Linked DNA regions of Callithrix jacchus. The protein of the gene in region 3 purifies or fractionates together with the protein of the main gene of each other region. This does not show direct contact. Links are inferred from orthologs where the notes say so. Each region holds a gene or a part of one and is shown on either strand. Other genes may lie near its edges. The genes, in order: POLR2G, RPAP1, POLR2M and GPN1.

Evidence for each region.
Region 1: the proteins of POLR2M (region 3) and POLR2G purify together in Homo sapiens (affinity purification with mass spectrometry; 4 studies listed by BioGRID and IntAct, counting the BioPlex papers as one, with this or other methods). This does not show direct contact. The link is inferred for Callithrix jacchus from reciprocal best matches to the Homo sapiens genes POLR2M and POLR2G.
Region 2: the proteins of POLR2M (region 3) and RPAP1 purify together in Homo sapiens (affinity purification with mass spectrometry; 3 studies listed by BioGRID and IntAct, counting the BioPlex papers as one, with this or other methods). This does not show direct contact. The link is inferred for Callithrix jacchus from reciprocal best matches to the Homo sapiens genes POLR2M and RPAP1.
Region 4: the proteins of POLR2M (region 3) and GPN1 purify together in Homo sapiens (affinity purification with mass spectrometry; 3 studies listed by BioGRID and IntAct, counting the BioPlex papers as one, with this or other methods). This does not show direct contact. The link is inferred for Callithrix jacchus from reciprocal best matches to the Homo sapiens genes POLR2M and GPN1.

Annotation. Positions count from the first base shown.
Region 1 is NC_133511.1:120,035,385-120,043,328, reverse strand, and holds the start of POLR2G (DNA-directed RNA polymerase II subunit RPB7), read right to left. Parts: upstream 4,421-7,944; 5' UTR 4,350-4,420; coding exon 4,338-4,349; intron 4,204-4,337; coding exon 4,094-4,203; exon of another isoform or gene 3,811-4,093; coding exon of another isoform or gene 3,782-3,810; intron 2,535-3,781; coding exon 2,375-2,534; intron 389-2,374; coding exon 338-388; intron 232-337; coding exon 166-231; intron 1-165. UniProt on the Homo sapiens protein: Core component of RNA polymerase II (Pol II), a DNA-dependent RNA polymerase which synthesizes mRNA precursors and many functional non-coding RNAs using the four ribonucleoside triphosphates as substrates.
Region 2 is NC_133509.1:45,068,497-45,075,655, forward strand, and holds part of RPAP1 (RNA polymerase II-associated protein 1), read left to right. Parts: intron 1-3,403; 5' UTR 3,404-3,479; coding exon 3,480-3,660; intron 3,661-3,938; coding exon 3,939-4,087; intron 4,088-4,371; coding exon 4,372-4,461; intron 4,462-5,249; coding exon 5,250-5,370; intron 5,371-5,941; coding exon 5,942-6,163; exon of another isoform or gene 6,164-6,220; intron 6,221-7,159. UniProt on the Homo sapiens protein: Forms an interface between the RNA polymerase II enzyme and chaperone/scaffolding protein, suggesting that it is required to connect RNA polymerase II to regulators of protein complex formation.
Region 3 is NC_133509.1:3,676,978-3,684,775, reverse strand, and holds the start of POLR2M (protein GRINL1A), read right to left. Parts: upstream 4,961-7,798; 5' UTR 4,832-4,960; coding exon 4,719-4,831; intron 2,987-4,718; coding exon 2,339-2,986; intron 1-2,338.
Region 4 is NC_133515.1:87,394,432-87,401,238, reverse strand, and holds part of GPN1 (GPN-loop GTPase 1), read left to right. Parts: intron 1-3,165; coding exon 3,166-3,273; intron 3,274-5,692; coding exon 5,693-5,778; 3' UTR 5,779-6,807. UniProt on the Homo sapiens protein: Small GTPase required for proper nuclear import of RNA polymerase II (RNAPII). May act at an RNAP assembly step prior to nuclear import.

The DNA.
Region 1 (7,944 bases), on a different chromosome or scaffold from region 3:
GTAAGTCCGGGGGCATATGAATGCACAACACTTTCGCACCATTGTAAAGTCATAACATCATAAGTTAAGCCATGGTAATTTGGGGACCATCTGTACTCAGTCATCCCCAGGACAATACTGAGGATGGCTGATTCTCTCCTCCCTGACTTCTTCCTGCCCACTTACCTCATCCATTGTCTTGTAACATGGTGGGTTGGAGTTAGGATCAAACTCCATCTCTGAAGGGATGGACTGAAAGGAAAGTGAGACTGGGTTAGCACTTTCAATGGATGCGTCAGCAGATGGTAATGAATGGGTATCTCTCTTCTTCAGCCCCATCCAGTGTGCCTAGACTTACATGTCGAGAGATGAAGCAAGACATAGGCCCAATTTCTGTGAAGAGTCCAACCTAGAAAGAAAATGAGTGATCTTGCTTTTTTTTTTGCTACTTAAAGTATTGTGTTTTTGTTTTTTGCTTTTTAAATTTTGAGACAGTGTCTCACTCTGTTGCCCAGGCTGGAAAGCAGTGGTGCGATCACAACTCACTGTAACCTTGAACTCCCGGGCTCAAGCGATTCTCCCACCTCAGCCTCCCGAATAGCTGAGACTACAGGTGCACACCCCCATGCTAGGCTAATTTTTAAAAACTTCTTGTAGAGACACAGTCTTGCTATATTGCCCAGGTTGGTCTCAAACTCCTGGGCTCAAGCAATCTTCCCATTTCTGCCTCCTAAAGCCCTGGGATTATAACTATGAGCCAATGCACCCAGCCCTTTTCTCTGTTTTTTTTAGACTTTTATTTGTATTTATTTATGTATTTACTTTGAGACAAAATCTCGCTGTTATCCAGTCTGGAGTGCAGTGGTACAATCTCACCTCACTGCAACCTCCACCTCCCAGGTTCAAGTGATTCTCATGCCTCAGCCTCCCAAGTAGCTGGGACTATACACACACACACACACACACCATGTGATGCCTGGCTAATTTTTGAATTTTTAGTAGAGACAGGGTTTCACCATATTGGCCAGCCTGGTCTTGAACTCCCGACATCATGTGATGTGCCTGCCTCAGCCTCCCAAAGTGCTGGGATTACAGGCATGAGGTACTAGTGCCTGGCCTAAACTTTCATTTTAAAGTAGTGAAGAGCTGGGCTGGGTACAGTGGCTCACACCTGTAATCCCAGCACTTTGGGAGGCCAAGGCAGGTGGATCACAAGGTAAAGAGATCGAGTCCATCCTGGCTAACATAGTGAAACCCCATCTCTACTAAAAATACAAAAAATTAGCTGGGTGTAGTGGCACACACCTGTAATCCCAGCTACTTGGGAGGCTGAAGCAGGAGAATCGCTTGAACCCAGAAGGCAGAGGTTGCAGTGAGCTGAGACTGAGCCAATGCACCCAGCCTGGGCAACAGAGCAAGACTACCTCTCAAAAAAAAAAAAAGGCCAGGTGCAGTGGCTCATGCCTATAATCCTAACACTTTGGGAGGCCGAGGCGGGTGGATCCTGAGGTCAAGAGATCGAGACCATCCTGGTCAACATGGTAAAACCCCATTTCTACTAATACAAAAAGAACTTAACTGGGCATGGTGGCACACGCCTGTAGTACCAGCTACTCGGGAGGCTGAGGCAGGAGAATTGCTTCAACCCAGGAGGCAGAGGTTGCGGTGAGCCAAGAGCATGCCATTGCACTCCAATCTGGGTAACGAGCAAAACTCCGTCTCAAAAAAAAAAAAAAAAAAAAAAAAAAAGATTTGAACACTGGTTGGGCACATGATCTTGACCAGTACACTTAACTTAAGCTTCAACTTCTGTAAAAAAGCACCCACCTTGTAAAATCACTGTGGGTCTCTGCACATTACCTGGCCCATAGTAACTACTCAGTCAATGCAGGCTTCTATTGTTATGACTATAAATGACTCCCTTGCCCTCTGAGTCACACAGGGCCAGATTGCCATACAATTTTAAAGTGAAGCACAAGAAGTAAAAGTTACTGGCCAGGCATGGTGGCTCACGCCTGTAATCCTAGTGCTTTGGGAGGCTGAGGTGGGCTGACTGAGCTCAGGGGTTCAAGGCCAGCCTGGGCAACATGGCAAAACCCCATCTCTACCATAAAAAAAAAAAAATTAGGCAGCCGTGGTGGCACATGCCTTTAGCCCCAACTACTCAGGAGGCTGAGGCAGGAGAATCGCTTGAACCCGGGAGACAGAGGTTGCAGTGAGCCAAGATCGTGCCACTGTACTCTGGGTTAAAGAGCAAAATTGTCTCAAAAAAAAAAAAAAACAAAAACAAAAAGTAAAGTAACTTAGCTGAAGGCACAGAGTTATCAAGTGGAGCCAGGACCCAACGACATCTTCCAAGAGACTACCCCACTGGCTCCCCTATGTATGGTCTCACCTTGTTGACCTGCGTGACAACAGCATCCACGACTTCTCCTTTAAAGGGCCGGAAAACAATGGCCTTGTACTTAACTGGATAAAGGACGAAGCCTCGGCCTGGCTGGATCACACCAGCACCGATATTGTCAATGGTGGTTACAGCGATTACAAAGCCATACCTGCAAGGAGGAGGAGAAACAAACGGCATTTTGTGTCCATGAGCCTCTAAAGATTCTGCAGTAAAAGTCACTGAGCTTTTGGGAGGAGGGTCAAGGAGAACAAAAGGACAAGTTGCTAGCACCTCAGTTACCAGAGCTTAATGACCAAGAGAAGACAGGACACAGATCAGTATGTATTAGGCCAAATGCTGCTCTGATAATTTCACAATAAATGTCCAAGATGGCTGGAGACCTTGAGCCAACAGGGGCCAATCTTTGGGATGCCTGAGAATCATCTTATTAAAATGCAGACTCTCTGGCCCAGCACGGTGGCTCATGTCTGTAACCCCAGCACTTTGGGAGGCCGAGGCAGGTGGATCACCTGAGGCCAGGAGTTTGAGACCAGCCTGGCCAACATGGAGAAACTCCATCTCTACTAAAAATACAAAACTTAAGGCCGGGCACAGTGGCTCACGCCTATAATCCCAGCACTTTGGGATGCTGAGGCGGGTGGATCACGAGGTCAAGAGATCGAGACCATCCTGGTCAACATGGTGAAACCCCGTCTCTACTAAAAATACAAAAATTAGCTGGGCATGGTGGCGCGTGCCTGTAGTCCCAGCTACCCGGGAGGTTGAGGCAGGAGAATTGCTTGAACCCAGGAGGCGGAGGTTGCAGTGAGCCAAGATCACACCATTGTACTACAGCCTGGGTAACAAGAGCAAAACTCCATCACAAGAAAAAAAAAACAAAACAAAAATTAGCTGGATGTGGTTATGCACATCTGTAATCCCAGCTACTTGGGAGGCTGAGGCAGAATGGTTTGAACCCGGGAGGCAGAAGTTGCAGTGAGCCGAGATCGTGCCACTGGACTCTAGCCTGGGTGAGAGTGAGACTTCCATCTCAAAAAAGAAAAAATAAGCAGATTCTCAGGTCTGCCCCAGAGAATCTTGATTCTGTAGGAAACAATGAGGTTCAGGAATTTGCATGTTCAAGAACCACCCCAGGTTTTTCTGATGCTGGAGACCCAAGTAACTCCACTGCCCTGGGCTGGGTCATTAATACCACCCTGGGAGAGGCTCCTCTGCACAAAGCCCAGAGATGTTCAAGTCCCAAGCTGCTTCCTTCCTCCCCCAACTCGATCTGCCTTTTCTGGTCATTCATTCAGAATATATATTGAGGCCCATGGTGTGTGGTCCCTGGGCACAGGGGATAAGAGAAAACCAGCAGAATGACAGAGGGAGAGCAGACACAAGAACAGTAATTACACTGTGGACTCCACGAGGGCTGGTCTCATTCTATCTTGTTCTCAGGGCCCAACACGGGTCCTGGCACACAGCAAGGATTTTTTTAACATGTTTGAGGAGTAAATGAATGATTAATTTCAACGGAGGGAAGGAAGTCTTATCGGCCAGCATTGCAGAGGGAGTCCTGGGAACCCAAAGCAGGAAACAACTGGCAGCCTGAGAGAGTGAGAGAGGTCCCCAGAGTGGGTGGCAGGACGAGCAGGAGCTGGGGAGGGGTTGCAGGTATAGCGCCTCGTGTGTGCGATCTGGCTGCGCGGTGAAGTCGGCACTCACTTCCCGGTGCAGGTCCCCTCCACCTCGGTGAAAAGCTTCTGCTTCACCGTGTTGAGCAAATTGGGGCCGAAGTAGCGCGGGTGCAGCAGGATTTCGTGCTCTAGGGAGATCTGCGGAGAAAAGTGGGATGGCGACCAGGCCAGGCGCTGGGAGGTTATCGGGCAAGAAGGGGCCCCTCGCGCCGGCGCCCGGCTTTGCTCCTCCTTCCCACCCAGCCCTTGCTGCCACCCTGAGCCCTGCTCACGTGGTAGAACATCTTCCCAGAGCAGTCTGCGAGGCTAAATCCACACCTCTTGCCGCCTCCGGGAATCCACCGGAAGCACAGATAGCCTCAGCAACCCCAGTTCCGGGCCGGCCGCGACAGAGGGAGGAACTCCACCCCCTTCGCGGGTTTGATTGGGCCTCGCTGTCGTGGGCGGGAACCACTAAAGCCACGCCCCTCGCCCGCCCAACCTGGGCCTCAAAAGGCAATTCTCTTAATGCACAAACTATAACAACCACTCAGTAAATACTTATAACGAGATTAATTAGTGAAAGAATCCATAAGTCAAGCGCTATAACAGAGTGCAGCAAATCGATTCAGCAAATATATATCTACACATGTTTGTTGGAGGCCCAAGTACTTCACTGCCCTGGGCAGAGAGAGAGTCTCTGTTGTCCAGGCTGGAGTGCACTAGCGGGATCATAGCTCACTGGAGCCTCCAACTCGTGGCCCCAAGCGATCCTCCCATCTCAGCCTCCCAAGTAGTTGGGGCAGCAGGCGTGCCACCACGCCCAGCTAATTTTTAAAAATTTTTTTTTGTACAGACCGAGTCTCTGTGTTGCCCAGGCTGGTCTCCAACTCCTGAGTTCAAGTGATCTTCCCGCTTCAACCTCCCAAGATGTTGGAATTATAGACATGAGCCACCACACCAGACCTTTGTCTTTCTTTTTTCTTTTCTAAGAGAAGGGATCAGTCCGGGCGCGGTGGCTCACGCCTGTAATCCTAGCACTTTGGGAGGCCGAGACAGGTGGATCACCTGAGGTCAGGAGTTCAAGACCAGCCTGACCATCATGGTGAAACCCCAACTTGAAAAAAAAGGGGGGGGCTGGGCGCGGTGGCTCACGCCTGTAATTCCAGCACACTCTGGGAGGCCAAAGCGGGTGGATCACAAGGTCAAGAGATCGAGACCATCCTGGCCAACATAGTGAAACCCCGTCTCTACTAAATACAAAAAAAATTAGCCGGGCATGTTGGCACATGCCTGTAATCCCAGCTACTTGGGAGGCTGAGACAGGAGAATCGTTTGAACCCAGGAGGCAGAGGTTGCGGTGAGCTGAGAATGCGCCATTGCACTCCAGCCTGGTTAACAAGAGTGAAACTCCATCTCAAAAAAAAAAAAATTAGCTGGGCGCAGTGGCAGGCGCCTGTAATCTCAGCTACTCTGGTGGTTGAGGAAGGAGAATCGCTTGAGCCTGGGAGGAGGAGGTTGCAGTGAGCTGAGATTGTGCCACTGCACTCAAGGCTGGGCGGCAGAGCACAACTCCATCTCAAAAAAAAAAAAGTTGTTGGAATCCCAAAAACCACTTTAAGCCTCGAGAGAGATGTGACTTCGAGTCACATACAGTTTACAATTTCTGTTCTCAGATTATAGATCAACTCACTTTCTTATTTGTCTTGTTCTCTACATTGACTAGAAAGACTTAAATGACCTCAGGGACAAAAAAAACCTCCTGCCTCCTTAATGAATGACCCTTGTTATAGATTAACTTGCCTTTTGTTGTTCTGCTTTGCTTAGACTACATGACAGAAAATCCATGACTATTTCATGCTCTGGAAAAAAATGTTACATGTCTCTTTCCAAAAAGAAACATTGTCTATAGCCAACCAAATTGCCGTAACTACACTAAGTACCAATCTTCTATGAAAAATGTAATCCCGATAAAATTCCTGTGTCCTTGCCTATACAAATGAAATCTTAACTTTTTTTTTTTTTTTTTTTTTTTTTTGAAATGGAGTTTTGCTCTTGTTACCCAGGCTGGAGTGCAATGGCATGATCTTGGCTCACCGCAACCTCCGCCTCCTGGGTTCAGGCAATTCTCCTGCCTCAGCCTCCGGAGTAGCTGGGATTACAGGCACGAGCCACCATGCCCAGCTAATTTTTTTGTATTTTTAATAGAGACGGGTTTTCACCATGTTGACCAGGATGGTCTCGATCTCTTGACCTCGTGATCCACCAGCCTCGGCCTCCCAAAGTGCTGGGATTACAGGTATGAGCCACCGCGCCTGGCTGAAATCTTAACTTTTACTTCAGAACACTGACTCCATTCCTCCAGAGTTGGTGTTTCCAGGTGGTCCATCCTCACACTTCACACTTGAAAAAAACTCTTTTAATAGGTTCTGACCCTGCGCGTTATTTTAGCTTGATACTGATACCACTATTATTCCCACCTTTATAAATGAGACCCAAAGAGATTAAGTGGAGGTATTTGGGTATGAATAGCTGACCTGCTCCAAAGCTAGTGTTCTTTTGTTTGTTATTTTCTTTTTCTTTCTTTCTTTTTTTTTTTTTTTTAGACAGAGTCTCCCTCTGTCGCCATGCCGGAGTATAGCGGTGTGATCTCCGCTCACTGTAACCTCCACCTCCTGGGTTCAAGCAATTCTCCTGTCTTAGCCTCCCCAGTAGCTGGAACTATAGTTGCATGCCCCCATACCCAGCTAATTTTTGTATTTTTAGTAGAGATAGGGTTTCACCATGTTGGCCAGGATGGTCTTGTTCTCTTGACCTCGTGATCCACCCTCCTTGGACTCCCAAAGTGTCAGAATTACAGGAGTGAGCCACCGCGCCTGGCCCTTTTTCTTTTTCTTTTTTTTTTTTTTTTTTTTAGATTTTAGTGGAGATGGGGTCACCATCTTGGCCAGGCTGGTCTTGAACTCCTGACCTTAGGTAATCCACCCACCTTGGACTCCCAAAGTAGTCTTGGGATTACAGGCATGAGCCACTGCGCCCAGCCTCCTTTTTTTTCTTGAAGAAGGGTCTCATTCTGTCACACAGACTGCCAGGCTGGAGTGCTCATCGAATTCTGAAGGTACAGGTCTGGGTCACCATGCCCAGTTAACTTTTTTATTTTTTGCAGAGACAGGGGTCTCATTCTCTTGCCCAGGCTGGTCTTGAACTCCTGGCCTCAAGTGATCCTCCTGCTTCGGCCTCCTAAAATGTGGGGATTACAGGTGTGAGCCCTCACACCTGGGAAAGTTGTATTCTTTACTACTGTACACTCTACTAAGACTGAAACTTTGGATAAAAAAGACACCAAAGCGGTGGCTCATGCCTGTAAGGCCAGCACTTTGGGAGGCTGAGGTGGGTGGATCCTGGGGTCCGGAGTTTGAGACCAGTCTGACCAACATGGTAAAACCCCGTCTCTACTAAAAACACAAAAATAAGTCTGGCGCGGTGGGGTGGCACGCCCCTGTAATCCCAGCTACTCCAGAGGTGAGGTAGGAGAATCACTTGAACCAGGGTGGCTGAGGTTACAGTGAGCTGAGATTGTGCCACTGCACTCCAGCCCCGGTGACAGGTCAAGACTCCTTCTCAAAAGAAAAAAAAAAAGACACCAAAGCAATAAAAAGGACTTGTGTCTGCTCCTCAAAGTGAGTGCACACAGAGCCCGAAAGCACAGAACAGCAATTCTGACAGTGTGGTCAAGATCTTTGCAGCGGATTATTGAGATCGTCTTCTAGTTACGTGTCTGTGTTAGACCCAATTTTCTTCCTGTATTTCAATCAAAACAATATATTCTAATAACTAATAGAAGCAGATAGGAGAATTGAGCTGTCTTCTATTCAAATAGTGTGATATTGTGAAATATAC
Region 2 (7,159 bases), about 41 Mb from region 3:
CAAGCAATTCTCCTGCCTCAACTTCCTGAGTAACTGGGACTACAGGCACGCACCACCATGCCCAGCTAATTTTTGTATTTTTAGTAGAGACGGGGTTTCACCATGTTGACCAGGATGGTCTCGATCTGTTGACCTCGTGATCCACCCGCCTTGGCCTCCCAAAGGCTGGCATTATGGGCGTGAGCCACTGTACCTGGCCTTTGTTTTATAATTAAGATATTATTTACTTACCACAGAATTCATCATTTTCTTTTTCTTTTTTCTTTTTTTAATTTTTATTTTGTCAAGCCCAGTGGATTCCCATTTATTATTATTTTTTTGAGATAGAGTCTTACTGTGTCGCTTAGGCTGCAGTGCAATCATGAACTTGGCTCGCTGTAACCTCCGTCTCCCAGGTTCAATCGATTCTCCTGCCTCAGCCTCCTAAGTAGCAGGAATTACAGGTGCACACCACCATGCCGGTCTAATTTTTTTATATTTTTTGTAGAGATGGGGTTTCACCATGTTGGTCAGGTTGGTATTGAAACTCCTGACCTCGTGATCCCTCCGGCTCAGCCTCCCAAAGTGTTGGGATTACTGGCATGAACCACAGCGCCCGGCCAGAATTCATTTTTTTAAAGTTTACCGGCCAGGTGCAGTGGCTCAGGCCTGTAATCCCAGCACTTTGGGAGCCTGAGCTGGGCAGATTTCTTGAGCCCAGGAGATTGAGATCAGCCTGCACAACATGGTGAATCCCTGTCTCTATAAAAAATAAAAAAATTAGCCGAGTGTGGTGGTGCATTTGTAGTCTCCGCTTTTTGGGAGACTGAGGTGGGAGGATGGCTTAACCCCAGGAGGTGGTGGTGGAGGGTGCAGTGAGCCAGGATCATGCTACTGCACTCCAGCCTGGCTGACAAAGCCAGACCCTGTGACAGTAAATAAATAAAGTTTACAATTCATGGCTTTTAGTATACTTACAGTGGTGAACATTTTAATTACTTCAGAAAGAAGCTGTCAATTCCCTTTTCCCTCCAGCTCTCTTAGCCCCTGGCAACTACTAATCTACTTTCTGTCTCTATGGATTTGCCTATTCTGGACATTCTGTATGAACAGAATCATACAATATGAGGCCCTTTGTGGTTAGCTTCTTTCTTTCTTTTTTTTCACCAAATAAAATGTTTCTGAGTCATGTAGCCTCTTTCACTTAGTGTAATGTTTTCAAGGTTTGTGCATTAGAACTTCATTCCTTTTTACTGACAAATTAATGACTCTACGTTAATTTCTTTTTTAGCCCTTTGTGCCATGGTTACGTAAAGTCTTAACCTTTGGGGTAGCTGGGTGAAGACTATATATGGTAACTGTTCATACTATCTATATAAATCTGTAAATCTAACATTATAACAAATTACAAGTTTAAAAAGTACATAAATTTATAATATATAGAGAAAAATAGAAATGTGCATATTTTATCATGATACAAAACAAACATTTGATTGCTCACTTATTTGTTGATTTTTAAAAAATTTTATTTATTTTTTTATTTTTATTTTTTGAGATGGAGTTTCGCTCTTTTTACCCAGGCTGGAGTGCAATGGCGCGATCTTGGCTCACCACAACCTCCGCCTCCTGGGTTCAGGCAATTCTCCTGCCTCAGCCTCCTGAGTAGCTGGGATTACAGGCACGAGCCACCATGCCCAGCTAATTTTTTGTATTTTTAGTAGAGACGGGGTTTCACCATGTTGACCAGGATGGTCTCGATCTGTTGACCTCGTGATCCACCCACCTCGGCCTCCCAAAGTGCTGGGATTACAGGCTTGAGCCACCTCGCCCGGCCTTTTTTTTTTTTTTTTTTTTTTTTCTTAAAGACAGGGTTTTACCATGTTGGCCAGGCTGGTCTCAAACTCCTGACCTCAAGCAATCCACCCACCTCGCCTCCCAAAGTGCTGGGATTATAGGCATGAGCTACCGTGCCTGGTTTTTTAATGTTTTTTCTTTGCTTTTTTATCTTTTAATCCTCTGATCATTTATCATTGGCAAGGTTGAGCAGATATAGAAGTGCATACATTCTGCAGCTTGAATGCCTAATTTCAGATTGTTTCTGCCATTTCCTATGTGATTTGGGGGCAATTAAATTAACTTCCTGTGTCAAGTAGGAGGATCACTTGAGCCCAGGAGTTTGAGGCTGTAGTAAGCTAAAAGATTATATTGAATTATAGATTTGGGAAGTATTAAGTCTTCTAATTCATGAACATGGGATATCTTTCCATTTGTTTAGGTCTTTATTCTTATTGTTACTATTTTTTGTAGAGACATGGTCTGGCTTTGTTGCTCAGGTTCATCTTTAACTCCTGGCTTCAAGCAATTCTCCTGCCTCAGCCTCCCACAGTACTGGGATTACATGCATAAGCCACTATGACTGCCTCACTTGTTTAGTACTTTAATTCAACAATGTTTAATAGTTTTCAATGGGCAAGTCCTGTACTTCTTTGGTTACATTTGTTCTAATGCATTAGCATTTTATTCTTTTTGTTGCTGTAATTTAAATTGTTTTCTTAATTCCATTTTCTGCATGTTCTTTGCTCGTGCATAGACATACAATTTTTTGGCCGGGCGCGGTGGCTCATGCCTGTAATCCTAGCACTCTGGGAAGCCGAGGTGGGTGGATCACCTGAGGTCAAGAGTTCAAGACCAGCCTGGCCATCATGGTGAAACCCCATCTTAAAAAAAAAAAAGACATACAATTTTTTTTTTTTTTGAGATGGAGTTTCACTCTTGTTGCCCAGGCTGGAGTGCAATGGTACAGTCTCGGCTCACTGCAACCTCCACCTCCTGCATTCAAGTGATTCTCCTGCCTCAGCCTCCTAAGTACCTGGGATTACAGGTGCCCACCTCAATGCCCAGCTAATTTTTTGTATTTTTAGTAGAGACGGGGTTTCACCATGTTGGCCAGGCTGGTCCTGTCCTCAGGTGATCCACCCACCTTAGACTCACACAGTGGTGGGATTATGGACATTAGCCACCGACCCGCCACAAATGTTTTTTAATATTGATATTTTACAGCCCAGGGTTTTTAATAATTTGCATACCTTTAGGCCAAGCACATCCTCTTCAGTTTGATACAGTATCATCATCCCCCATTATGACACATATATCTGCCTGGCCCCTAATGAAATTTTCCTCTGGTCTCCTGCTAGTTCTTTTTGAGAGTTTTATCATCACCCATAGATTGTAAACAACCTAAGTTGGCTGTAAATATTGTTGCTAGGCTGATGACATCAGGGAGGGCTGAAGAGAGAGGGAATGGCAATAAGGTATGATTGAGGAGGAATGAGTTCATGTGAAGGATAAAGAAGGTCTTCTCTGATGCCTAATAAAGAAAATCAGGATTCAGTTGCAGAGGGCCCATATTCTTTCTTGCTCTTAGGGATGAATAAGAGAGAATCCCCACAGGAAGACACTGCTGGAGACAGTCGTACTGGGGAGGCAGCTGGAGCAGCAAGATGCTGTCGAGGCCAAAGCCAGGGGAGTCCGAGGTGGACCTGCTGCGCTTCCAGAGTCAGTTTCTTGCAGCTGGTGCAGCCCCAGCGGTGCAGTTGGTAAAGAAAGGAAATAGGGGCAGTGGTGATGCCAACTCAGACCGGCCTCCGCTACAGGACCATCGGGATGTGGTGATGTTGAACAGTAAGTGCCCGGGGGTATGAGGCTGAGAAGTAGACAGGGTACAGCCTCGGCCCCTCCCTCTTCCCAATGTGGTTGGATTCAGACACATTGTTATTTCAGACACTGTTGCTGCAGCCCCATTTTACAGAGGAAGAAACTGAGGCTCAAAGGGGTTAAATACCCTATGCAAGGTGACAGCTTGAGCCAGCGCCCCATGGCAGCCAAAGCTTTCCTTCCTAGGCTGCAGTGACTTCCTAGGAAGGTGCATATACTCATATTTGGGATCTTTTCTTTCTCAGATCTCCCAGATCTGCCCCCAGCTTTGGTCCCTTCTCCCCCGAAGAGAGCCAGGGCCAGCCCTGGCCACCCCCTGCCTGAGGATGAGGACCCAGAAGAGAGGCTGAGGAGGCATGATCAGCACATCACTGCTGTCTTGACTAAGATTATTGTGCGTCTCACTCTGGCTGAGTAGGATAAGATGTTCTTGGGCAACAGGGATATTGGATGCTCGGGGTGGGTAAGCCTTATGAGTAGAGGCTGCTTCAGAAAGGGAGACTTTTCCCCAATGCAGTCTGGTTGGGGGCTGAGTTAGAATCACTTTGCCCTGAAGGGAGGAGGGTCCATAATCCCCCTGAGTGAGGTTCTATCATTCAGAACTGGGCTAATAGGATAGGGTCCAGCCTAGGGAAGTCTGTACATTGTGCTTCACAACTTCGTGCTTTGTTGCTACAGGAACGAGATACAAGTTCAGTGACCGTGAAGCTGCCTGTGCCCAGTGCTGTTGCTTTCCCCCCTGTGTTTCATCGCTCTCGGGACACACAGGTAGGCAAGGGTGAGTTTAGGTGGTGCCTAGAAGACAGACAGGTGAGTCTCATAGGCATCTTCAGACTACCGACAGGTGGTTTTAATGACAGGCAATTTCATTTACAAAGCAGGACCGTACATACTCGTTACATCTTTTAATCTTCATAACAAACATATAAGGGAGGTATCATGATGATATCTTGGGGATGAGGATTCCTTATTCCCATTTTTCAGATAAGGAAACTGACACCCCCTAAAGAAATAAATAACTTGTCCAACACCAGACATATAAGAGATAGAAGAGGCCGGGCGCAGTGGCTCACGCCTATAATCCCAGCACTTTGGGAGGCTGAGGCGTGTGGATCACGAGGTCAAGAGATTGAGACCATCCTGGTCAACAAGGTGAAACCCCGTCTCTACCAAAAATACAAAAATTAGCTGGGCATGGTGGTGTGCACCTGTAGTCCCAGTTACTCAGGAGGCTGAGGCAGGAGAATTGCTTGAACCCAGAAGGCGGAGGTTGCGGTGAGCCGAGATCATGCCATTGCACTCCAGTCTGGGTAACAACAGCGAAACTCCATCTCAAAAAAAAAGAGATAGAAGAGCCAGAACTTCAGCCCAGTCTGTCAGATTCTAAGATCTTTACTCCTTTGGCCTCTCCTTTTTTCTGAGGACGAGTGTTGTTATCCCCGGAGATTGAGCAAAGCCCCTTTTATCTCTTTGTTCCAGAGACCTTGGTATAAAGAGGCTGAGAGGAAAGTGGGATAATGAGCATCAGTAACCAGGGTTTTCTTTATGCCCCACAGGGAAAATCAGCAATATCTGGTAAGAGAAGCATCTTTGCCCAGGAGATTGCAGCAAGGAGAATATCTGAAGCCAGGGTCCCATCAGTTGGGGAAGTTGTGCCCAATCTGGGCCCACCAGAGGGTGAGCTGGGGTTGAAGAGGCTTGGGCTTGGCCTTTTTAAAAGACACAATCATAGGGTTATTTTTGAAGACACGTCTTCCTGCCTCAAATGGGAGGTACATTTGAGCCATCTGAAGTAATCTGAGAATACAAGTTATGGGAGGCTTGGGTTCATATCCTGGTCTCAGGTGCTGGGAGTGACACAGGCCATTATGTAATCCTAAGAGAAAGGGAATAGTCTGGCAGAGACTGTAAAATAAATGTATTGGCGAAGATTCCTTTAATGATGCAAATTATTAGCTGAAGAGCCGGGAGCAGGCCCCTAGCTATAGATGGCTGCCTGGATATCCAAGAGAAGAGTCAGAAATTAGGGTGTTTCTGGAGGAAACCTTTTCATAATAGTACTAGGAAAGTGGTAAGTGGAGAAGCCACCTCGAGTCCTATGCCAGACCCAATGGGGTCTGCACTCTGTCTAAAGAAAGCTTGGATCTGTACCTGTCTCCAGGGCTAATAGCCTTATAGAAGAGGGCCAGAAAGCCCAGTTAGAGCCATGGAGGACAGAGCAATGAATGTGGTCATACCTTTCTTCCAGGTGCCGTGACCTGTGAGACACTGGCTCCTAGGGACCGGGGCTGCCAGCTTCCTGGAAGCAGCCACAGCTTCCAGGGACCTAATCTGGTCACAGGGAAGGGACTCAGGGGTCAAGAAGCTGAGCAGGAAGCCCAGACTATCCATGAAGAAAATGTAGCAAGACTGCAGGCCATGGCTCCTGAGGAGATCCTGCAGGAACAGCAGCAGTTGCTGGTGCAGCTTGGTATGGGTGCCTTGCTTTCCTGCTGAGACCAGGCTAGGAGAGGACCACCACTATTGAGTAAGGCTTACTGTGAGTTCTGGACACTGTGCTGAGTACTTTAGTACTTTTTTTTTTTGAGATGGTCTTGCTCTGTCACCCAGGCTGAAGTGCAATGGCATGATCTCAGCTCACTGCAACCTCCACCTCCCAAGTTCAAGTGATTCTCCTGCCTCAGCCTCCCAAGTAGCGTGATTACAGATGTGCGCCACCATGCCTGGCTAATTTTTTTGTATTTTTAGTAGAGACGGGTTTCACCACGTTGGCCAGGCTGATCTCTCCAATTCTTGACCTGAAGCGACCCGTCCACCTCGGCCTCCCAAAGTGCTGGAATTATAGGCATGAGCCACTGCACCTAGCCAAGGGCCTGCTTGTAACCACTGTACTTATATAACTGTACTACCCTGGTATAGTATACAGTATGCGTTATTATAGCTATACTCTACTATTACTAAACTACAGTCTTCTACTATGCTATGCTATACCTCCCGCCCCATGTCTGCTCACCAAAATGCTAGGCACTCAGTCAATCTTGTTACCCACTGTATGCTAGCACCTGTATAGAGTATGTGTTAGGGCTCAGTATGGTGCCTTGCACCTGTAATCCCAGCAGTTTGGGAGGTTGAGGTGAGAGAACCACTTGAGGCCAACAGTTCAAGACTAGGCTAGGCAACATTGTGAGACCCCCATCTCTAAAAAAAATTAAGATGCTTTACTCACATGCTAGACGATAGGGGTAAAAAAAAAAAAAAATTAAGATATAAAAAATTGGCCGGGCGTGGTGGCTCATGCCTGTAATCCAAGCACTTAGGAGGCCAAGGTGGGTGAATCACCCAAGGTCGGGAGTTTGGGACCAGCCTGACCAACATGGTAAAACCCTGTCTTAAAAAAAAAAAAAAGATATAAAAAATTAGCCAGGTGTGGTGGCGCATGCCTGTAGTCCCCTGGGAATTCGGGAGG
Region 3 (7,798 bases):
TTCATTCAATGAACATTTGCAAAAGGGTTTACTGCCTCGTAGAGAGAAATAAACATGTAAAGTTTCAGTGCGATATAATACCAGAGGTACTATGACAGATACCTCAACGAGATACACTGGAACATAAGGAAATGGCCAGTTCCCGTGGGAGACAGGGAGGTTGTCAGAAAAGCTTCCAAGAAGTGACATTTGAACAGTCTTGGAATAATAACTGCTTACCCCTTAAATGAGGAGAGAAGTGCATCCCAGCAAGGGGAGTGAGAGGAAGCACAGCAGGCACAGACACCCAGCTTTTCTGCTATACAGAAAAGACGGCCACAGAGAGGGCTGGGAAGTAGGATGAGCCCAGACTGCAATGAGAAGGTCAACAGAACAAGTTCAGATTTCCATCTTAAAATTTCACTCTGGCAGCAGTGGAGACTGACTGCTAGTTAAACTAGAGGCAGGAAGAAGCCACAGTTGTAGCCCAAGAGAGGGGAGTGTCTTCACTCTGACAGAAGATGAAGAACAATTATACAGATGAAGATCAAGGAAAATACATTACGTAGGTCTTCATGGTGAGCAGATAAGGAGATGAGAAAAATGAAAGATACCTTGGGGGAAGAAAACCAAGAAGAAGGTGGGGACACTATTAGAGAATATGGAAATTACCTTGGAAAGAAACAGGGGTGCCACTTTGTACATGATTAAGCTGAGATGCCAGGGAACACCCAAGTGGTCAAGTGTTATGGCTAATTGGCCATGTAACCCTAAAACTTCTGGAAGATCTGGAGTAGAGGTAGACAAGGGGCAGCCTCCAGCATCCAGGTGATATACGAGGCCAGAAGAGTATGCAGAAGGAAGAGCAGAAAGGCTCAAACGGACACTCCCTAAGCCCATTTTCCAGCCTCCAAGCCACTTCTTACCATGTGTGTAGCCTCTGGACTCCTCAAAGCCCTGCCTTTCCTGCTCTCCTTTAACTACACAGGAGGCTCCCTCTCTCTTAAACTTCCTGCACTCTTGGTAACCCTCATCACTATTCCCTTATCTCCCTCCAACTCCTACATAAATGACCATAATACAGAACTGGGATTAATGTATTCTTTGTTGTATTTATTGGCTAGATGACGGTTCTAGTTTTCTACATGTCATCCTGGAAGTGAAACGTGTACTTCACTGTATACAAGAGATTACCTGACCACATTAATATACTATAGTCCTGATTTTGTATTCAGCAGAAATCACGTTTTCAGGTTAAAATGAATGCTGGGGTTGAGTTAAAGTGTAACAGAAAAGACGCATGTTTTAGGTACTTTTCGCTAGAGGTCTTCTGTTTTTCAGAGAATGGTAGTAGTGATTTAACGGTGCATTTGATGTTATGTACTTGTAAATACAGCACGGGAAGGTAGCAGTTACCCGAGCTGAATGTTACATTTGCTGCAAGTAAATAGCAATTCTTTTCAAAAAGATTTTATTTTTCCTGAAATGTCAGAAATAAATTTATGGCAAGGAACTGATAAGCAGAGTTTCTGCCCATCCTGCATGAATCTATTTTCACAGTTTTCAAACCGCTTCTCAGCTTCCTTCTCCCTGAAACTATTAGTATGTAGTTTAACTCTTTTGCAAGTGTGTAAACCTTGGGTCTTCATCCAGCTCCTAACCTCACTGAAGAACAGGGAGTTTATTACATTATACGTGTATACATTATGGCCATGTTTTTAAACTTGAGATACAACATTAATAAGGCAAAGGAGTTTAAGAATTTTGACTTCACTGTGTCCCCACAACACCTGCTGCTTGCTTACATTTAGTGAGCATGCACATCTCTTCTGCTGGAAAGCCCATGAGCTCCAGCTGCAACTGCCTTCCCCTTAGTTCACAGACTAATCACAGTGAGTACACTTTGATAGTACACTAATCAGAGCTGTACGGTAAAAAATGGTTCCGAAAAAAAGAAGTCATAATAAATTCTCTCTCCAACCCTGTTTATTAGGAAATACCGGGTCACAGCCTGAAATTTAATACTCCCCCATGTGCTATTTAAGACCTTTTCAAAACTAAGTATTTTTCAACATGAATCTTCCACTCCATCCAGGCTGGTCTGTGTTTCCACAGTATGTTCTTTTCTAACAGGCAGTTCTCACACAAAGCCACGGAACTTAGAGCATTCTCCTGACTTTTTTTTAAAAGAAAAGGTTGCCCAACCTTCTCCAACTCCTGTCCTCAAGCTGTCTTCCCACCTCAGCCTCCTGAGAAGCCTGGGACTACAGACAAGCACCATCACAACCAGCTTCTCGTAACTTTTTAGGTTTAACAAATACTATGCCCCTGTTACAGGCCTGTTTCCGATGGTACTTACACATTGGTCTTAAATGTATGCAGCTGGGGCACTGGGTTTTTGGCTCGCGTTTCTAGCACTTCCATGTAATGAGGCTTCTTCTGAGTCGCATGAGAAAGGCCTGTCAAGTTCATGGCACCTGTGCTTTCTTCTGACTGTTGTTCACCCTGGTCTGCAATGCTGATCCCCTGTAACCTGTCAATAAACAGGCTGTCAGAGCTGCTGGAAGTATCTTCTGCTTGACTTGAAACACGATGCTGCGGGTGATGCTCACTAGCTTCAGACGAAGGCGGCGCTCCGTCTCTGTTGCTGGAAGCTGGGCCCTTACTCACTGCGTACTCAACCTCTGGAGTCTCTTCATCACCTTCATGAGTAGGACGTCCAAGTCCCTGGTTTCGTGAGGTTGTTTCAAATGACTTGATGTTATCTACAGAGGAACAGCCAGGAGCTAGTGATGAAGCATCAAGTATCTGGTCAGAATTCCGGGCCTTATCTGTATCGACATCCACCTCTGCAGTGGCTTCTTGCCTTAGCTGACAGTCTAAACTAACAGCATGAAACAGTTCACTTTTTCTTCTAACTTCTTCACGTTCTGCAATGGCAGCTTTCAGTTTGGCAACAGAGTCAAAAATCTTTTTACCTTTGTCGGGCAATTTGCAAATGAATTTTCTGTCAAATGGAAAAGAATACATATATATTACAGTCACGTTTTTAAACTTGACATACAACATTAAAGAAGCTAAGCATTAACTTGTAAGAAAAAAAGCCAATTTTTTAAATCGAATATCTGATTTCTAACTTCTCCAAAATGGGAATAAAACAAATAAATGGCCATTATCCAAAGAGCCCAAAAAACACGGGAATGCAGGAACAGAGAATATATGCCTCATTTGTCTCAGCAAATTAGAATTTCAGCAAAAGTACTTCAAGCATATAATAATCACGTAAGGCATTCCAAGAACCAGCAGTCATTAAATCTCCAAAATGTGAGGATGGGGTTGAGTGTGGGGATGGGTCTATTAGGTCAAAACTACTTTCATCATAATACCAAGATGTTATTTCCCTCTCACTTCCTCACATGGGTACAGTGGAGTTTTCCAGAGGCTACATGACATGTGATGACATCATTGTTCTAGAATAGAATGTGTGCTTGTGTATACTTACGTTTTAAAGACTTCAGCTGCATTTCTGATAAGTAAATGAATTTTGCTAGATATAACACATAAATAATTCCATGGGATGTCAATAATTCTTAAAGTATAAAGGAGTCCCAAGACCAGAAAGTTAATTCACTGCCATAGATTGAAAACCTGTTCTCACAAGGTCAAAACACCTGTCTGGACCCCAATCAAATATTTATCTCTTTTGTTGGATAACAGAGTTCCTTTTCTGATTCCCTTTTCTTTATAGAATCAATGGAGAGAAAAAATTAAACCCTGGGTCCTCTGTTCTTTTCGACAATGCATTCATTCTCACAACTGACAACACTACAGCTGAAATTCCTATGTTTTCTATATTTTTCCAATTTCTCTCTTTCTTGAGCCTCATGACTGCTTCTCCAGCTTTTGTTTGGTTTTCACTTAACCAAATGTCTGTCCTGCTCTCCTCTCACCTCCGCACACCCTAAGTAAAATCAACCTTGGATCTATTCCTCTCCCCGAATTTTCCTATTTTTTGCTAGTGGTGTTCCATATACATAGGAAACTTCGGCCATCTCTGCCAACTACATGTAAATTAGTCCATGCTTAAAGTTTTCCCAATTCCTTCCTAGTTCACTTCCTTACAACTCTCTCGTGGGGAGCCTCTCTGCAAGCATCCTTCTACTGTCCTCTGCTTTTTATTCCTTCAAACCATCTTTTGCACGAAGCTGCTGAACACAACTGCCCAAAACACAAAATCACTTTTATCACGTGGCTCCCCTACTAAAATCCTTTAAATCAGCCAGCTGAATGAGGGTCGAACTTTCCCGGCCTAATAAACAGCTCCTCACATCCCACTCTCCCCATTTCCTCCGGTTCCTGTAACCATAGAATCCAGACATGAAGCTGACAATCCGTTATGGGTTAGGGGCGCGGGCGGCCAAAGGCTTAGGATGCAGACTCTTGCTTCACGGAGCCAACAGAGTGCCCGGGAAAACACCACCAGCGAGGAGCTACTAACTCACTGCAGCGCTAAGGAGCCGTCCAGGACGAGTCGTCCTCGCAGGCAAACGTGCCTGGCCAGGGAGAGGGACGGCTCTGCGGCAGCAAGTCCTCTGTCCACTCGCCCGGAGGACTGAGGCGAATGTGACTGAGGCAAGGTCACCTTCCAGGGAAGTGAATGGAGTGAGGGAGGGAAGGGGAGCGCCCAGGGAGCTCCAGCTGAAGGAGCCTGGCAGTGACTCCGCGGGACCGCAGCTTACACGTTGCGCAAAAGTCTCTCCTGGCGCTTCAACATTTCCCGCAGCTCCACCAAACTCCGCTGCCCCAGGTCCTCGGGTGCTTGGGGCTCGAAGCCGCGGGGCAGCGAGGACATTCTGCGCAGGCTGAGGCTGGCGTGGCGGCGGGCACTCGGCTTCCTCAACAGGCCCCGCAGCTAGCGCCGGATCCGCGGCCGCCGGTGACTCCGGGGCATGAGCGGGAGTCGCCATTTTCCCGGAAGAACGGGCTCTTCTTCGAGCCGAATCGAGCTTTATTGAAATGCCGGAAACAAACACGGACCGGGAGAAAGGGGGCGTCCGGGGGGAAATCGCTGCAGGGCGGAAGTGACGTCATGACGCCGGCGCCGCGGCTTGGCGCCCTTTCCCCTCGTGTGAGCGTTTCACCCGTCGTCAGCGGCGCATCGGTTTGTACAGAAAGTGTTCTGCGCCAGGGTGACCTCACCAAACACGACGTGTTAGTCACCAAATAGCCACGTCCTCTGTTATAGTTGGAGTTTACGGAGTGGGGAAGTCAGGGGGACGATCAAATAATAATACAATAGTAACGTTGCGTTGGACACCTCGGAGGGTGTCTGCAAAGCGAGATTCCAGTGGAAACCTTAAGGATGAGCTGGCCATTAATGACGTAGAGGAGAGTGTGAGACAAGGCGTGGGAGACTCCGGCCTGCGTGTGGTGCCTCCTAGCCCGGCTTCGTGACGTCCGGAAATGTTCAGGTTGGACGGTCCCTTCTTGGGGCGCAACGGCGTTTGCAGCGGGACATTCAGGTGCTTCTGGCTGCCAGGCACTCCCAGATCATTGCAACAATCCGGAACGTCTCCCCCAACATACATGTCCAAGGCCCACAAGAGGTGAGGAGTGGGAGCGGCTGTACAAACCGCCTGACGACCTTTTCTAATTTCCTACTTTGCCAATAGAAAAACAGCGTCACGAAAACGGAAATAAATATTCCCAGGGCACAAAACCAGCGACAGCACCCGATTTCAAACCCAAAAGCCCAGCTGCTTTTCCAACGTACCAGTCTGAAAATCCCCGTCTTCACTTAGACCTATTTCCAAATGTGTAAAATTGTTGAAAAGACTTTACTTTACAGCTGTTGAGAAGAAGGCAGGTTCGTATCGGACCCAGCTTTTACCTTCTTGTAGTTCCTCTACCAGAGGTGCATCCCAGTAGAAAGAGTTGGAAGACATGCAGTCCCAGCAGATGTCACTTGGGAGGTTTGAAAACCCCATAACCTCCAAAACCACGCCCTCCCCCAATTTTTTTGATATAGAAGATTGAAGGTGTGTCAATCCTATGTAAGATGCTACATAAACACAAACAGCTCCGTCCCAAAGAGACAGACGATCTAGGTAAAAATCCAGAGCTATTCCAGGGAGCACAATTGCAACCATTTCTCTATTCCCAAAATCTGGTCCATTTTGATCAGACTCGTTAACATATCAAAACAAGTTTTCTCAGTATAAGACTTCCTGTAAAGGGCACTTAAACCTGCTCCAGCATTGACTGAATGAGAAATAGTTGAGTAAGTTCCTTGAATCAGGTGATTTGTCTGTGGCGTTGGCAAAAAAAAAAAAAATCAAACTCTGCAAAATATTGAAGAGATTTATTCTGTGCCAAATATGGGTGACCATGGCCCATGACACAGCCCTCAGGAGATCCTGAGGACACGTGCTCCAGGTGGCTGGTGCACAGCTTCATTTTATACCTTTTTCGGAGATCCAAGACGTCAATCAAACACATTTAAAATGAACAGTGGCTTAATCCAGAAAGCTGGGACAACTCAAAGCAGAAGGAGTGTGCAGGAAGGTGGGCTTCCAGGTTATAGGTAGATTTAATTTTTTTTTTCTGATCCACAATTACTTGAAAGGAATGTCTGGGTTATCATAAGAGGTTGTGAAGACCAGAATTTTACCATGCAGATGAAGCCTGCAATTAGCAGGCTTCAGAAAGAGTAAGATGCAAATGTTTCTTATCAGACTTAAAGTCCATGTTGATATTAAATGCTGGGCAGCTTTTTCTGGATTCCAAAAGAAAAAGGACAGCAAAATGAGGCATGTCTGATGCCCCTTCCTGTCATGGCCTAGTCAGTCTTTTAGGTTAATTTGGAGGACCCTGGCCTAGAGGAGGAGGTCCAGAAGGTTGAGGGGGCCTTCTCATTTTACTTTTGATTTACAGTAACAAGGCTATTATATAATCAGCAAAGTGACATCTAGAATACAAAAACTCAATTTCTTATACATCAATAAGCAAAACAAATCAGCAGGAAAAAAAGGAAAAATACAAATAGTTCACAGAAGAGGAAACTGAAAAAACGAGAAAACATAATTAAAAAAAGATCCTCAACTTTAGGGAAATGCAAAGTAAAACAAAAATCTTAAAAATCCCAAACTCTTTCTGATTGGAGAAATAGGAGCTCACGTGTTGCAGAGAATGAACTGGCAGAAACACTGGGAAAAGGTATGCAGCCATATCTAGCAAACTGGAAGGCATAAATCTACAATTTAACAGCCTCTACGTACACAGCCTTCCTAAGGAAACTCTGTATGCACTAAAGATGTGTGTCAGTGCTTTCATTGCCACGTTGTTTATAGTGGCGGCCAAAATGGAAAACTACACCAATTAAAATGAGAATTAAATCTACAGATAGCAACAACGTTGAATCTATAAAACTTTGCAGAACAAGATCATTTATTTTAAGCTGAATAACATGCAAATTAATAGTGTATGTTTTGTCAGAGGATGTATTGAGATATAATTTACATGTAGTAAAACACCCCCATTTTAGTGGACAAGTCTGAGTTTTGACAAATGTATACACTTCTGCGATGACCACCATAATTATGCCATAGAACAGTTCTATCATCACCCCCAAAATGTAGTCAGCCTCACCACTGAACCCCGACTCCTGGCAATTACTAGTCTGTCTTCTGTCCTAGACTTTTGCCTTTTCCAGAATGTCATATAAGTAGAATCATACAGTAGCCTTTTGAATCTGGCTTGACTCAGCGTAACAGTTTTCAGATTCATCTATGGCACTGCAGGTATCATAGCCCGCTCCTTT
Region 4 (6,807 bases), on a different chromosome or scaffold from region 3:
ATGTCTGGCTAGTTTTAACATTTTTAATAGAGATGAAGTCTCATGATGTTGTCCAGGCTGGTCTTGAACTCTTGGCCTCAAGCAGCCCTCCTGCCTTGACCTCCCAAAGTGTTGGGATTATAGGCATGAGCTACTGTCCCCAGCCCACTTTTTTTTTTCTTTAACTTGCTTTGGTGAGCAAGGACTATTTACTTTTATGACTGTACCATGTTGTTTTTTTTTTTTTTGAGACGGAGTTTCGCTGTTGTTACTCAGACTGGAGTGCAATGGCTTGATCTCGGCTCACCGCAACCTCCGCCTTCTGGGTTCAAGCAGTTCTCCTGCCTCAGTCTCCTGAGTAGCTGGGACTACAGGTGCGCACCACCATGCCCAGCTAATTTTTGTATTTTTAGTAGAGACGGGGTTTCACCTTGTTGACCAGGATGGTCTCGATCTCTTGACCTCGTGATCCACCCACCTCGGCCTCCCAAAGTGCTGGGATTGCAGGCGTGAGCCACTGCGCCCGGCACCATGTTGTTTTAATTATGTAATTATGTTCAATATCTGCTAGGTCACATTCTCCTCATAATTTTTATTTGGTTGTCCTTACATAGTCTTCCACATGAACTGAGTATCAACTTTAGTCCCCTAAAAAGCTTTTTGGTATTTTTGTTGGGATTATATTATATTCATAGTTAATTTAGGGAGAAGTGACATCTCTATGATGTTCAGTCTTGTTACCCAAGACCATGGAGTGTCTTTGTATTTGTCAGGTCTACTTGTATCTTTCAAGAATGTTTATGGTTTTCCTCATGGTGGTTTTCCGTATTTCTTTTTAAACCATTTTTGTTATTTTAGCCAACCTTTTTGACCAAGAGTTTTTGCCTGTTTGTTTTTAATTTTTTTTTAAACAATTCATTTTTATTTGAGACAGGGTCTTGCTTTGTTACCCAGACTGGAGTGTAGTGGTGTGATCTTGGCTCACTGCAGCCTCTGCCTCCTGGTTTCAGGCTATTCTCCTGCCTCAGCCTCCCTAGTAGCTGGAACTATAGGTGCCTGCCATCATGCCTGGCTAAATTTTGTATTTTTAGTGGAGATGAGCTTTTGCCATGTTACCCAGGTTGTACTTGACCTCCTGGGCTCAAGTGATTTGCCCACCTCAGCCACTTAAAGTGCTGAGATTACAAGTGTGAGCCACTGCATCCAGCTTGAAATTTATGTATGAATGTATGTTTGCTGTGTATTTATTTTTGAGGCAGAATCTAGCTCTGTTGCTAGAGTGCAATGGTGCAATCTTGGCTCACTGCAACCTCTGCCTCCTGGGTTCAAGTGATTGTCGTGCCTCAGCCTCCCAAGTAGCTGGGACTACAGGCTCGCGCCAACACGCCTGGCTAATTTTTGCATTTTTAGTAGAGGCAGAGTTTCTCCATGTTGGTGAGGCTGGTCTTGAACTCCTGACCTCAGATGATCTGCCCGTCTCAGCCTCCCAAAGTGCTGGGATTAGACATGAGCCACCATGACCAGCTGACTTTACTGAATTTTCAAAAATTTTTTGAGTTAGTTTTATCATTGGCTCTCCAGGGGTTTTTAGGTTAGTTTTCATTTAGCATGCCTTCCACCCTGACCGCTGTATGTTGATTAACTGCCCTCAAGATTCTGGTGCAAGTCTCTTGTAGCTTAGTGGGATCCTGCAACCAAATTGACTGTACTTAAAAGAAAAACTCCATTTATTTATTTATTGTAATAAATGGGGGCCAGGTGCGGTGGCTCATGCCTGTAATCCCAGCACTTTGGGAGGCCGAGGTGGGCAGATCAACGAGGTCAAGAGATCGACACCATCCCGGCCAACACGGTGAAACCCCGTCTCTAGTAAAAATACAAAAAAATTAGCTGGGTGTGGTGGTGCACGCCTGTAGTCCCAGCTACTCGGGAGGCTGAGGCAGGAGAATTGCTTGAATCCGGGAGGCCGATGTTGCCAGTGAGCTGAGGTTGTGCCACTGCCCTCCAGCCTGGCGCCTGGAATGAGACTCTGTCTCAAAAAAATAAAATAAAATAAAATAAAATAAATTGGGGATAGTTTTTTTTCCTTCTTATCAGCAACACTAGCATTTTTTTCTTCTGGGACATCTTTCTTAAAGGAGTGATGTTTCTGTTCATGAAAGTTATTGCTATATTGAACAGCAAAGCTGAAAACAGACTGGGTTTACCAGTTAAGTGATCTCATTTGTGCCATCCTTGCTGCAAACCTTAGCAAAATACATTTTCATGTGCCACAGTCCTTTAGAATCATTTCTGAATATGTCAAGTGATTGTTACAACTGCTGCTACAAAGGGTCTGCTGTGCTCCGCTAACCTGTTGTAGGGTGGGAGAGTTTAAGTAAATCATTTGAGGAAAGTCAAAAGTATAGTTGCATAATTGTTAGTTGGGTACAGAAATGAAGCATTTACTGTCAGCATGTCCTGTCATCCTCCTTTCTCACAGGCCCCTTGAGATTTGTGCCAGTTGATGTTGCTGCCTCTGGCCACCCTTATTCCCTAGCCGAGCTCTCACAAGCCTCAAAGGCTCCTGAAGAGAGAGTGGCTGTGTCCTCCCATGGTAGTAGTGAGTTGACTAGATTTTTCTTCTGATTACTGGAGCTCAGCCCTTATTAGTTTTTCTGAATAGAGAATTTTACTTGTATTAGTGTATTTGATTTTCTATTTTTCCCCTACCTCCTCTTCTTAAATAATACCCTGGCTCCTCAATATCATTTCAGCCTGTATTTTCTGCAGACCTTCTCTGAACTTACATTTCCACCAGAAGGCTTCCTTAGCACTCCACACTTTCACTGTGACTCACCAGCACACTGGATCTGTTCAGGTGTTTTTAGCTTTCATAGGAGAAACCATCACTCCTTCCAAGCTGTGAGCCAGTAAAAAGAATGATGCTACTACTAAGACAAGCTTCTTAAAAATTATTTCCCTCAGCTTAAAAAATGGGACTCCTAGGGCTGTTTGCCTTATGAAAGCACTTTGTGAACTAAGTATAGAAATGTTAAACGGTATTAAGAATACATTTAGAAGAGGTAATCCTGCATTTACCTGTATCATGAGAACTTTCATCCTGCCAGTTTATGATCATAGTTATTAGTGATTCCAAATCAACTTTTGAGAAGGCATATGCACTCATAGCTGTTTTCACTGTAGACAGCTTATCTCCTGTGCTGGACCCTTCTGAATTGATCCTGACTCGAGGAACCTTGGATGAAGAGGAAGAGGAAGCAGACAGTGATACTGATGACATTGACCATAGAGGTGAGAGGAGCTGAGGTGGCTCATGGCAACACAGCATCTGCTTATCCTCACATTGTTTCCCCAGGAGTTTCTTATTGTTAAGCATGTAACCAGTAATAGTGGGGGAGAGGAGATGGTAAAGGATACCGCACCAGAAAAGAGTTTCCTATATTGAAAGTTCCTGTCCTGCCTACTGGAGGGTTAATATTGAGCTGATTATAGACCTTTCATTGGTCTTGTGTCTCCTTATCTTTAGGTCCTAACTTGGTTTGAGGAATCCAGGACTTTTGTTTGTTGTTATTAGGATTTTGTTTTAAGAATACGTAAGGACTGGGTGTGGTGGCTCATGCCTGCAATCCCACAGCTTTAGGAGGCCAAGGCAGGAGGATTGCTTGAGTCCAGTAGTTCTAGACAATCCCGAGCAATAGTGAGTCCCAGTCTCCACAAAAAAGAAAAAAAAATGGCTGGGCGTGGTTGCTCACAGCTATAGTCCAAGCTGCTTGGGAGGCTGAGGTGGGTGAGTTGCTTGAGCCCAGGAATTTGAGGCTATAGTGAACTATGATTGTGCTATGGCACTCCAGCCTGGGTGACAAAGCAAGACCGTCTCAAAAAGAGGATTATATAGGTGGTATGGACTATGATAGCATGGCTCTGAAAACCCAAATTCCACTTGGCATGGTTTTATGGACTGTGAGCAGAATCTGATTATTATTTTTTGAGACAGAGTTTTGCTTTTTCCCCCAGGCTAGAGTGCAATGGTGTGATCTCAGCTCACTGCAACCTCTGCCACCCAGGTTCAAGCAATTCTCCCACTTCAGCCTCCTGAGTGGCTAGGACCACAGGCGTGTACCACCACACCCAGTTAATTTTTTGTATTTTTAGTAGAGACAGGGTGTCACCATGTTGGCCAGGCTGGTCGCGAACTCCTGACCTCAAGTGATCCACCTACCTTGGCCTCCCATAGTGATGGGATTACAGGCGTGAGCCACCACACCCTGCTAGAATCTGACTCTTAAAACAACCACAGGCTGGGTGCGGTGGCTCATGTCTGTAATCCCAGCACTTTGGGAGGCCGAGTCGGGTGGATCACCTGATGCCAGGAGTTCGAGATCAGCCTGGCCAATATGGCAAAACCCTGTCTCTACTAAAAGTACAAAAAATTAGCCAGGCTTGGTGGTGGGCACCTGTAATGCCAGTTACGTGGGAGACTGAGGTGGAAGAATTGCTTGAACCTGGGAGGCGGAGGCTGCAGTGAGCCGAGAGTGCACCATTGCACTCCAGCTTGAGCAACAAGAGTGAAACGTGGTCTCAAAAAAAAGAAACAACCACAAGATTAAGGTCTAAACTATGACCAAGAGCAAACCTTGGCCAGGCATTGTGGCTTATGCCGGTAATCCCAGCACTTTGGGAGGCTGAGGTGGGTGGATCATGAGGTTAAGAGTTCAAGACCAGCCTGGCCAAAATGGTGAAACCCCATGTCTACTAAAAATACAAAATTAGCCAGGCGTGGTGGCGAGCACCTGTAATCCCTGCTACTTGGGAGGCTGAGGCAGAGAACTGCTTGAACCCAGGAGGTGGAGGTTGCAGTGAGCCAAGATTACACCACTGCACTTCCAGCCTGGGTGACAGAGTGAGACTCCGTCTCAAGGGGAGAGAAAAAAAAAGCAAACCTCCTTGTTCTTTGGCTGGGTTTTATATGTAAATTGCCCCATTTAATCAGATTTCTTAAGATGTAATTTACCAACAGTAAAACTCAACTTTTTGAGTACATAGTTTGACGAACTTTAACAAACACATACTTTCTTGTAACTACCATCACAGTTGAAATGTAGAACATTTACCCGACCCCTGAAACTTCCTCATGCCCCTTGTTTTTCAGTCCTTGTCCTAAATACCCAGAGCCTGGCAACCACTGACTGATACTGCCTTTTCCAGAATGCCATACAAATAGAATCACAGTATTTAGCCTTTTGCATTTGACTTTTTGGACTCAGTAGTATAGTCTGTCCATGTTGTTGCATGTATCAGTAATATGTTCTTTTTTTATTGCTGATAGTCCATTATTGTGGATGTACCACAGTTTGTTTATCCATTCCCCAGTGGATTGATATTTGCGTGGATTTTAGCTGTTATGAGTAAAATGACTATAAACATTTCCAAATAGATCTTTGTGTAGACATATGTTTTCATTTCTCTTGGTTAAAAATACCTATAAGTGGGACCTTATTTTAACTACTATGAGGGAGTTATTCTTTATACATAGAAACATTTTGGGCAGCATGATAAAGCATGCTTCTAGGAGACATTTCCTCTTTGAGAAAGGTGAGTACTTAGTTTTTTAGAAGTAACATACTTTTTCTGATGGATGGGTGATAGGGGCTCTAATCAGTTTTGTCTAATGAAAGAGAATTGAAAAGGAATTGTCCTTTTTTCCTTGCAGTTACAGAGGAAAGCCACGAAGAGCCAGCATTCCAGAATTTTATGCAAGAATCAATGGCACAATACTGGAAAAGAAACCACAAATAGGACACCCTAGGACATTTCACTTGTTTCCAGAAGTCCAGAATTTTGGACCTCTGTGTGAAAGAACTATCCTTACCTCTGACTGGGGGCTACTATAAGGGACAATTTTCTTCAGGGTAGCAGAGTTTCTCTTATTAGAGAAATCTTGTGACTCAGATGAAGTCAGGGCGAGAAGACCCTTGGACCTGGCAGGTTAATGCTGATTATTCCTTGGCCTTTCCCCTGTATTTATGCAAGGAAGGATACACTAAGCTCATATTCTTCCAGCCCTACAACTTCAAGTTTTATCATTTGAACTCAAGTACTTTGGCTGCTGAGGAATGGAATCAAAAGAACATAGTCTCCTGGTGACCACTTCAGATCTCTTTTAGGCTGGATATATAGCCTCTACTTCCTCCACCCTCCCCCCCAGCTTCGTGCCCTTGACCCTGCACCATCAGTTGCCCTCCTATTAGTAGCCAGGGAAAAGGGAAACATGAGTTTGTCCAGAACAGCGGCAGAGTATTCTTGGCAATCCACCAACGTTGGTATGAAATATGCCTCACACTGTATAGCTCATTATAGGACGCCAGGTTTGTTGAAAGTGGGCAAGACATGATTAATGAATCAGAATCCTATTTCAGTGGTTACTTGGATAAAGAGTGTTTAATTTTAACTTTGTTGTAAGACTACTTGTCATGATTTCAAATTAGAAAATTATGTAATTGTGAATAGATTCACTTCTGTTCAACAGAGGCTTAAGGCCACATGTCCAAAGTTTTCTCAATAAGGAGGTGATATTTTACTAAAGTTTCCCATGTGCACATACTGAGTAAATACAGAGCGAGGCCCAGTTTGTATTGTACTCTGAACTTAATGAAAAGTCTCCTTGGTGATTTACACAAAGGCCATGGATTTAGGTTAGAGGCACATTTCATACATAACAGCCATTATAAAGGTTTGCCTTGCCTCCACATTTTGAAGATACAGTATCTTCAAACAGTACATTTCTTTCAGGGAATTCTATCTCTGTGAGTCAGTACTCCAACTTAG